2 linked regions of the Rhinolophus ferrumequinum genome follow. Each later gene encodes a partner of the first gene's protein in a complex. Links are inferred from orthologs where the notes say so. Each region holds a gene or a part of one and is shown on either strand. Other genes may lie near its edges.

Region 1 (3,744 bases):
CCAGGCCCTCAGTCCCACCAGACCCAGTTCTGGGCTTGCCTCCCAGCCTGCCCCTCCCTGACACCTACCAAGCTTTTCCCCCATTCCCTTCCCTCCCAAAACCACCCCCCCGCTACAGAGCTGCAACACTCCAGGTCTTTCCCTCACAAGTTCCCAAGAAGACAACCAGTATGTCTAATTTAAAGACTGTCTTTTCTGAGCAGTAAATTGAGTAGGAAAGGTCACATACACATTTAACCACAGCCCTGGAAAGATAGGACATGTACCTAGTAAAGAGCCCAGATGTGAAAGGTCAGTTCTAAGGGGAAAAGTCTGCTGGGTGACAGCAGGCGATCCGGCCTTCTAACTCACAATGCCCGGTTCTGTAAACTGGGGGCCTGGAATCCTTGAAACAACCTTGGCAAGCGGGTATGGAGGTGAGATAATATGAAAAATCATGACCAGAGGTCCTTAATAACAGCTGCTGCCAGCCAGGTCTTTTCCATCTAAAAGTGGGGGTAAATCCCTCTAGCTCCTCAAACAGTTGATATCCACATGCAGGTCATTATATAAAAACAGGTCATTACATGTATGTATATACATTACATGTATGTATACTTTGTAAACATACAGGTCATTAATTCCTTTTACTTTATGGACAAAAAAAAAAAAACTCAGAAAATGTTCCACTGTCCCCCCACCGCACCCCCAAGTCACTGGCAGCCCTAAATGGGGACCTTGTGGCCTCCACCCCGGGAGGCACAAACCCTTGTCTTAGGTTCTCTGAAATAAACCTTAACTAGAACGAATTAGGTCCAAATCATTCATGAACAGCGGTGTTAGCAGGCCCGTGCCCTGAGCACAGGGCATCACAAAACACACTCCGTGAGTCTCAGGAGCTGTCCAGAGGCCCAGAGCCGGGTCACTATGGGGGCCAAGCCCTGCGGCTTTAGGTCAACGCAGCTTCCAACACCAGCAACCCCAGCTTGAAGCTTCCAACTTCAAAGGGCCCCCAGGCGGGAAAGGGTCACTCGGCGGGGAGTCCCTGGCTCCAAAGCCCCTTGAAGTCACACACACACACACACACACACACACACACACACACACACACCCCCTCTCACCACCCTCGCGCGCGCCCGCGGCACAACACGGACTTCCCAACCCCAAACACGCGCGCACCCCCGGGTCGGCTGAGTTCTGTATTTCCTCTTCCTCAAAGCTACTCCTGCCATCTCCGCCGCCCCTCTCCACTCTGATTTTAGGGACCCCCGAGCTTCGCTGCCCCCTTTCTCTGAAGGCGCGCCGGGTGCGCCCCCTCTTTGATGCCGGTATCTTCTATCGAAGCCCCCCACCATTTTTGCCGGTCCCAACCGGGACCTCGGCGTGTCCCGGGAGGCGTGTATTTGCTCACAGTGGCCCCCGGGACTCCCAGCTGCCCCATCCACCCGCTCCAGTCCCTCTCGGCCCTCCCTCCCTCCAGCCCATCACCGCCCCCTCCCAGGAACGCGCTCGCTGGGGGATTCCCTCCCGTCTGCCAGTGCTCGAGAAATGCCGGGAGTCCGAGCCGCCAGTTCCTTCTCCCGCGCAGCCCCCAGTGACTGCAAGCCCCCAATCTCTCACTCCCCGTGGCCCCAAATCCCAGTCGCCGGCAGCGCAGCCCTCCCGCGGCCCCCTCCAGCCGGCCCTGGACGAAACGTCTCTCCGGGTTCCCGGGCCCCAGGCCCCGCTCTCCATCCCCGGGGGCCCCTCCCTCCGCTCCCATTCCCATTCCAGCCCCCCATCCACCTCTGCCCAGACTTCCTCAAATGCCCAGCGCCCCGTCGCGCCCGCAGCCTTCACCCCGCACTACGCCGCGGCCACCCCCGCCCGAGCCGCGGCGCCCCCAGGGAGGAAACAAAAGTGTCTCCGAGGCGACCAGAGTCCCCGGAGCAGGACGCCTCCTCCTTGCCCCAGCCCCATCCCTCCGTCCCCACCCCACCCCCAGGTCTGCCGAGGTCAGCGAGCCGGGGCTCCGCGCCAGCTCAGGAAACTTTACGAACCTGCCCGGGGTCGCAGGACAGCAGCAGTGGCAGCGAAGGTTCCCAGCGAACAGACCTCTGGCGACCCGCGACCATTGAAGGGGGCCCGGAGGCTCTGTCGCCCTGCTCGGGGCCGCGGCGGTGTGGGTGGTCTGACTATCCCGTGCCCATCCTCGCCCGCTAGCGCTTGCCCGAGCACACGCACTTACACTCCGGGTCCGCAGGCTGCTGCTCCGCCGGTTGCCGCTGCTCTCACTTCCTCTTCCTTCCTCCTGCTGGCCAGAGACACGTTTTGCAGCTGCGAGGCATCCAGAGATCAGCCGCGAACTCTCCTCCGGAGCGGACGCTGCGGAGTGGCCGCCGCCGCCCCCGGCACCTGCGCCTGGACAAGCGTGGTTGGCGCGTTCGCCGCCCGCCTGCGCCCTGGGGCCTGCCTGGTACTTTGCCTGGGGCGCGGTAAGGGTGGGGGCGAGTGCCCACGACTTTTTGAAGTCCCCTTACTTAAAAAGAAAATGTCAAACACCGTGGCCGCCTCAGATCTGCCATAAATACTCAGTGTACAGAGCAGGACTTCTCGGATGAGCTCACACGCGGCGTTTTGCAGGCACTAATTAACTCCGTCACCCTCAGAGCGCCACCTTAAGGAGACCGAGAGCGCCTGGCATCTTTTTACGTACCTTCATTTTTGGCAGTTGGTTTGGAACTTTGAGGGGAAACTTCGGTGGGTTGTTTTAAAGCTCCTTTAAGAGGCTGGTGTGTTTGTTTTGACGTTCTACCCCTCTCCTTGGGCAGCATGGCAAAAATAACTACATCATGCTGCCTTCCCCTAACCCTCACGAAGGCATGTACAGGCGACAAGATTTATTCCTGATCAGTTACGCCAGGGCCTCCCTGAATTTGCATAAAACAAGATGTTCCACCCCCAAATTGGTATTTAGAGTACATTATTTAATTCATGCAACCTACCTCAGACATTTTCAAAGCAGAAATCAAACACGTCTTCTCCCAGCATAGCTGCCAAGAGGGAAATGACAGTTGTTGGAAGGTTGCAGGAGAAACACCTGTCCTTTCCAAATTCAGAAATATCTACATTGGCTCTACCAGAAAAGGCAAAGGCAGTTGCTGAGGATTCCATTCAAATTGGCAACCAGGTAAGTTGGGGGCAGGGAGGCCTTAGAATCAAAGTTGGAAGGCAGAGCTCCCCTTTAAATTTCAATCCCCACCCCCAGGAGATTTAAATTGTAGTCCTGTGCGAGCTGTTCATGAGCAGAGATCCAAACAGCTACTGTATACTTGAAATGTGACTAGTCCTGAGGTGTTCAGTAAGTGGAAAATAGACAGGGGACTTAGTGTGAAAAACAGAATGTAAAATAGGTTGTTCATGAGTTTAGTGTTGATGACATCAGCTCAGCAAATGATAAGAGTTTAGATGCAACTGGGTTAACAGTATATATATGCAACTTCAAATAATTTCACTGGTTTATTTTTACGTTTTGGATGTGGCTACTAGAAGAAGTAAGATTACACATATGGCTCTCATTAGTGGCTCACCTTATACTCTAATGAACAGCCCTGATCTGACCCCTTATTATACGTGTAACCTTGAGAGGAAGTATTAGTAGCAGGAATACTTGGGTCCAGATCATTAGAAGCCAATAATAACAAAGCAGGATGACTCCAGGAAAGTAATTTAACTTCTCTGTTTTCTCATCTATAAAAAAATAATGATATAATCATAACAGTCAAC
Region 2 (3,744 bases), on another chromosome or scaffold:
GTAGACGCTCAGAAAGTTTGTGCTGAACTGAGGATGCTCATTCTCAAGTCAGAGCTCCAAGAGCAACGCCGGGGAACAGAAGCACCAGAGGGCGCCCACGAGTCTGTCCACCCGCCTGTCCCCAGGGCCGCTGCAGGATCTCAGGCCTGGGTGCGGCCCTTCTGCCCCAGCAGTTGCGCGTTCGGGCGAGAAGAGGGGGCGAAGGGAGCCCAAGGTCCTCTGTCCGCCCCGCCCCCTCCCCAGAGCACAAGCGCGCGGAGTGGCCGGGTGCGGAACGACGACGCGACATCCTGTTTTTTGGGGCCCGCGGCTCCGCCTGCGCCTCTGCTGATCTTGTCTTTCCCCGGGTGCTGACGCCAGCTCCCCTTCCCCCAGTCTCCGCACTCTCCCCAGGGGTCTGGGGCCTTCCCACTGCTGAATCACCACCACCCCGCACTCCCTCGGGGTTCCGGGCAGGGGTGGGGACTGCCCCAGCCTGACCCATTCTGACCAACGCCGAGCCTTGGATATCGCTCGACTCCTGGGCTTGAAGACATCAAGACTTAGGGGCGCCTGTTCTCAGCATCTTCCCGCAGGGCTTGGTGGGGGCAAAAACGGGGAGGGGGACAAAAGCTTAGAACCTAGGCTAGGGCCTCTACCGGGCTGGGGGTGGCAAGGAGGAGACTGGGAGGACTGACCTTGGGAGGACTGACGTTAAGAGCCTCGGAGGGAGAGGGCTGGGGTCAGGGAGCCCAGGACCGGGCCGGGGGCGAGGCTGGGGGTGGAGAAGAGACAGAGGGTGGGGGGACCGGCCCCACGGACTTCCTGGTGCGGCCCCGCCCCGGCCCGCCCCCGCGCTCCGCCCCGGTCGCCGGGACCGCCCCCCCCACTTCCTCCGGCCTCCCGCTCTCACTTCCTTCTCGAGCCGCCTGCTGCTGCCGCCGCCCCCAGCTCCCCCGCGGCGGGGAGGGCTCCAGGTGAGGCCCGGCGCGGGCCGGCGGGCTGGGGGTCCCGGGGAAGGGAGCCCGGCCGGTCCGGGACTGGGCACGGGCGCCGGCCCAGGAAGTTTGCTTGCGGGAGGCCGCGGGCGGGAGGTTCTGGGCTCACTGCAAGTTGGGCGGGCGCGGCCGGGCGGGCGGGCGGGCGGGGCGGGGACCGAGCCACTGCGAGCCGGCGGCAGCTCCTGGAGGGTGGGTTCCTGTACCGTGGGCGGCTGTACCGGCTCCCTGGAGCCGCGGGGGGCCCCTGAGATCGGAGGTCTCGCGCCCAGAGAGAAAAGTCTCTGAAGTGGAAGGGTTTAGAGTTGGGATGTGGGACTCAGAGGTGGGGTGCCCTCAGAAGTTGGGGAGCTATTCTGCAGTGAGTGGGGTGGGAGGGCTGGGCTAGAGATGGCGCTCCCACTGGTCTGGCAGTTGTGACATTTGTGAGGTTGAGAGGGGGGCGGTGTCTGGCCTCTCGCCCTAGCCTGCAGAGGACGAGCTTCCTCACTGGAAGATCGGTACCAACCCAGAACCTGCTCGCAGGCTGCAGCCCAAGGGTCCTCTGCACTCAGGAGGGCGCGGGAGCCCCGCTGACCCCAATCTTTCTCTGTGTGCGTCTTTTTGCTGAGGCCCAACCTCTCCATCCATGGAACCAAGCAACAGGTATTTGGTGAGCAAATACCTGCTGTGCCTGGCTGAGGGGTGCCTGGCCTTGCTCTTTTGTGGGTAAACTGAGGAAGAGAAAGGGCCTGGTCTTGTCCTGTGACTAGAGTTGGAAGGACTCTCATTCAGAGGTACTGATAGTCCCTGACAAGATGGCATCACTGAGAGCAGCACTGTTTTCAGGAGATGGAGAGACTAATAGGGCTTGTGGGAGACAGCAGGGGTTCTGGCCTTGGGAAATGATTAGGAGCCGTCTCCTAGTTGACCTCTCGCCGGCCCGCACCCCTCATTGGCAGTCTCTAAATTCTATACATTCTCACTTTGTCTTCTTCCATTCCTTCTTCAGACTCTACCCACAAACCCTCCATCACCCACTTCTCGAATCTTTTTCAGTTTCTTTTCCCCCAAACACACAGTCATGCCAAGGCCCTGACCTCTCACCTACCCTGCCCTTCTGTCCGTCTCTGTCCCCTGCAGCCTACCCCCACGCCCTTCTTTGCTTAGCTTCTGTCTCCCACAGATGTATCTACCCTCTTGCTTCTTCCATCTCGCTTCATTCTTTTGATCCCTCTGTCTCCTTTCCTTTCAGCCACTTATCCCCAGCTTTGGCGTCAGGATCTTTGGTGAGTTTCAGAGCCTTTTCAAACCTCCCCAGCTCAGAGAGGCAGGCTGCAACCTCCCAGTAATAGAGATGATTAAAGGGCTAGAAAACCTCTCTGTATGTGTACGTGCGTGCGTCTTGTGTGTCGACATTTTTATCTCTTGGAGACAAAATAACTGCTCTCAGCCTTGAGAGGGCCCAGAGCAGGGGAAGCCAGCAGAATGAAGGGAACCTGCAGTGAGTGCGGTTGTGGGTAGGGTAGGAGGAAGCAGTCTGTGGTGGTCAGGGTAGAGTGGCACAGTAATAAGACTGTTGAGAGAGGCCGTGGGAAATCAAAATCACTCAGACCGTTGGGTGCTTGATCAAGAGGCCAGGCCTGGAGGCCAGAGGACAGCCCGAAGGCCCCTGACTCCAGTGCTTACTGGTTCCAGCACCGCCTGGTGGGGAGAATGGGACCAAGTTTGCTAGGTGTGACAGAAGGAAAGGGAGGAAGCAAAGGCAGGGTTCTGGAGAGAAGACTAGAGCTGTTCTAACTTCATTCTTACCTGTTTTAGTGCCAATTCAGGAAAAGAACAGGAGCGGGAAGCAAAGGTATCTGCCCCCTCTGCCCTTCTTGCTGCCCTCCGGGGCCTGCCCAGGCTGGGTACCTACGTGCCCTGGCTGCATCAGGGCTTTGGTGACAGTAATCCTCTGCAGTCTGCTGAGCCCTCTGCCTTCAGGATTCCTTAATATTCCCCCTCTTACCTAAGATCCTACTCCCTCTCTTATCAGGAATTTCTCCTGAGTCTAACTTTAGTCCAACTGGCTCTGTAAGCCCTTTCTAGGGCTCTTTCCTCAAGCCTTTGAGATGCATGTTGTGAGATCTTGCTTCTCTCTGTCTCCTCCAGTCTACTCTATTCATTTCCCTCCACTAGGAAAAAAAGGGGGGGAGGGCAGCAAGTGCTACTCTTTTGGGATTCCCAAGCACAGCTAGATTTAAGGGCTATTCCTGTTCCCCATTCTGTCCTCTTCCATTCACAGCTGCCCTCTCCCATGAACTGTCTCTTCGTCCACACACCAGTGTCTTCTACTCTCATTTCTGGGAGGTATAAGGGGTTTGGCCCTGAGAGGAAATCTCGGGGACCTACATTAAATCCTGCTCAGGGAAGGATGTGCCTGCAGGACCCCCTCCCAGCATCACGGCTCAGTAAAAAAACCACCCAGGAGTCCTGACTCCCGCCTTGCCGATGGGTACTTATTTTAGGATTCTGCATAACTGAGCAACCCACAGGTCTCTGGGGGTGAAGATAGGACGGATGAGATGGGTTCTCCCGGGCACAATCTGGTCCCACTGGAGGTTTGAGCTAATTGCAAGAAAATCATTGCTAGAAAAAATATGACCAGGGTAGGAGAGGTCTAAATGGGAAAATATCAGGGGCGGGGGGTGCCTGCAACCTAGGAGGCTGCTATTGAGTTCTTGGCTAAAGAAATAAAGCCAAAGTCCTGACATGAAAAGAAGTGGCTGATGTGAGATTGTCACAA

The links. The genes of interacting proteins can lie anywhere in the genome.
Region 2: the proteins of ELMO1 (region 1) and RHOG are in contact, whole or in part, in a crystal structure (PDB 7Y4A), measured with the Homo sapiens proteins. The link is inferred for Rhinolophus ferrumequinum from reciprocal best matches to the Homo sapiens genes ELMO1 and RHOG. Residues at the interface, in NP_001193409.1 of Homo sapiens: Lys9, Val10, Ala11, Glu13, Tyr18, Pro19, Leu21, Met22, Ala54, Asn71, Gly72, Ile74; in NP_001656.2 of Homo sapiens: Val36, Phe37, Asp38, Trp56, Tyr64, Arg66, Leu67, Leu70, Ser71, Pro73, Gln74.

The regions. Positions count from the first base shown.
Region 1 is NC_046303.1:7,351,963-7,355,706, reverse strand, and holds the start of ELMO1 (engulfment and cell motility protein 1), read right to left. Parts: upstream 2,336-3,744; 5' UTR 2,207-2,335; exon of another isoform or gene 2,019-2,206; intron 1-2,018. UniProt on the Homo sapiens protein: Involved in cytoskeletal rearrangements required for phagocytosis of apoptotic cells and cell motility. Acts in association with DOCK1 and CRK. Was initially proposed to be required in complex with DOCK1 to activate Rac Rho small GTPases.
Region 2 is NC_046294.1:47,346,958-47,350,701, forward strand, and holds the start of RHOG (rho-related GTP-binding protein RhoG), read left to right. Parts: upstream 1-812; 5' UTR 813-956; intron 957-1,475; exon of another isoform or gene 1,476-1,622; intron 1,623-3,744.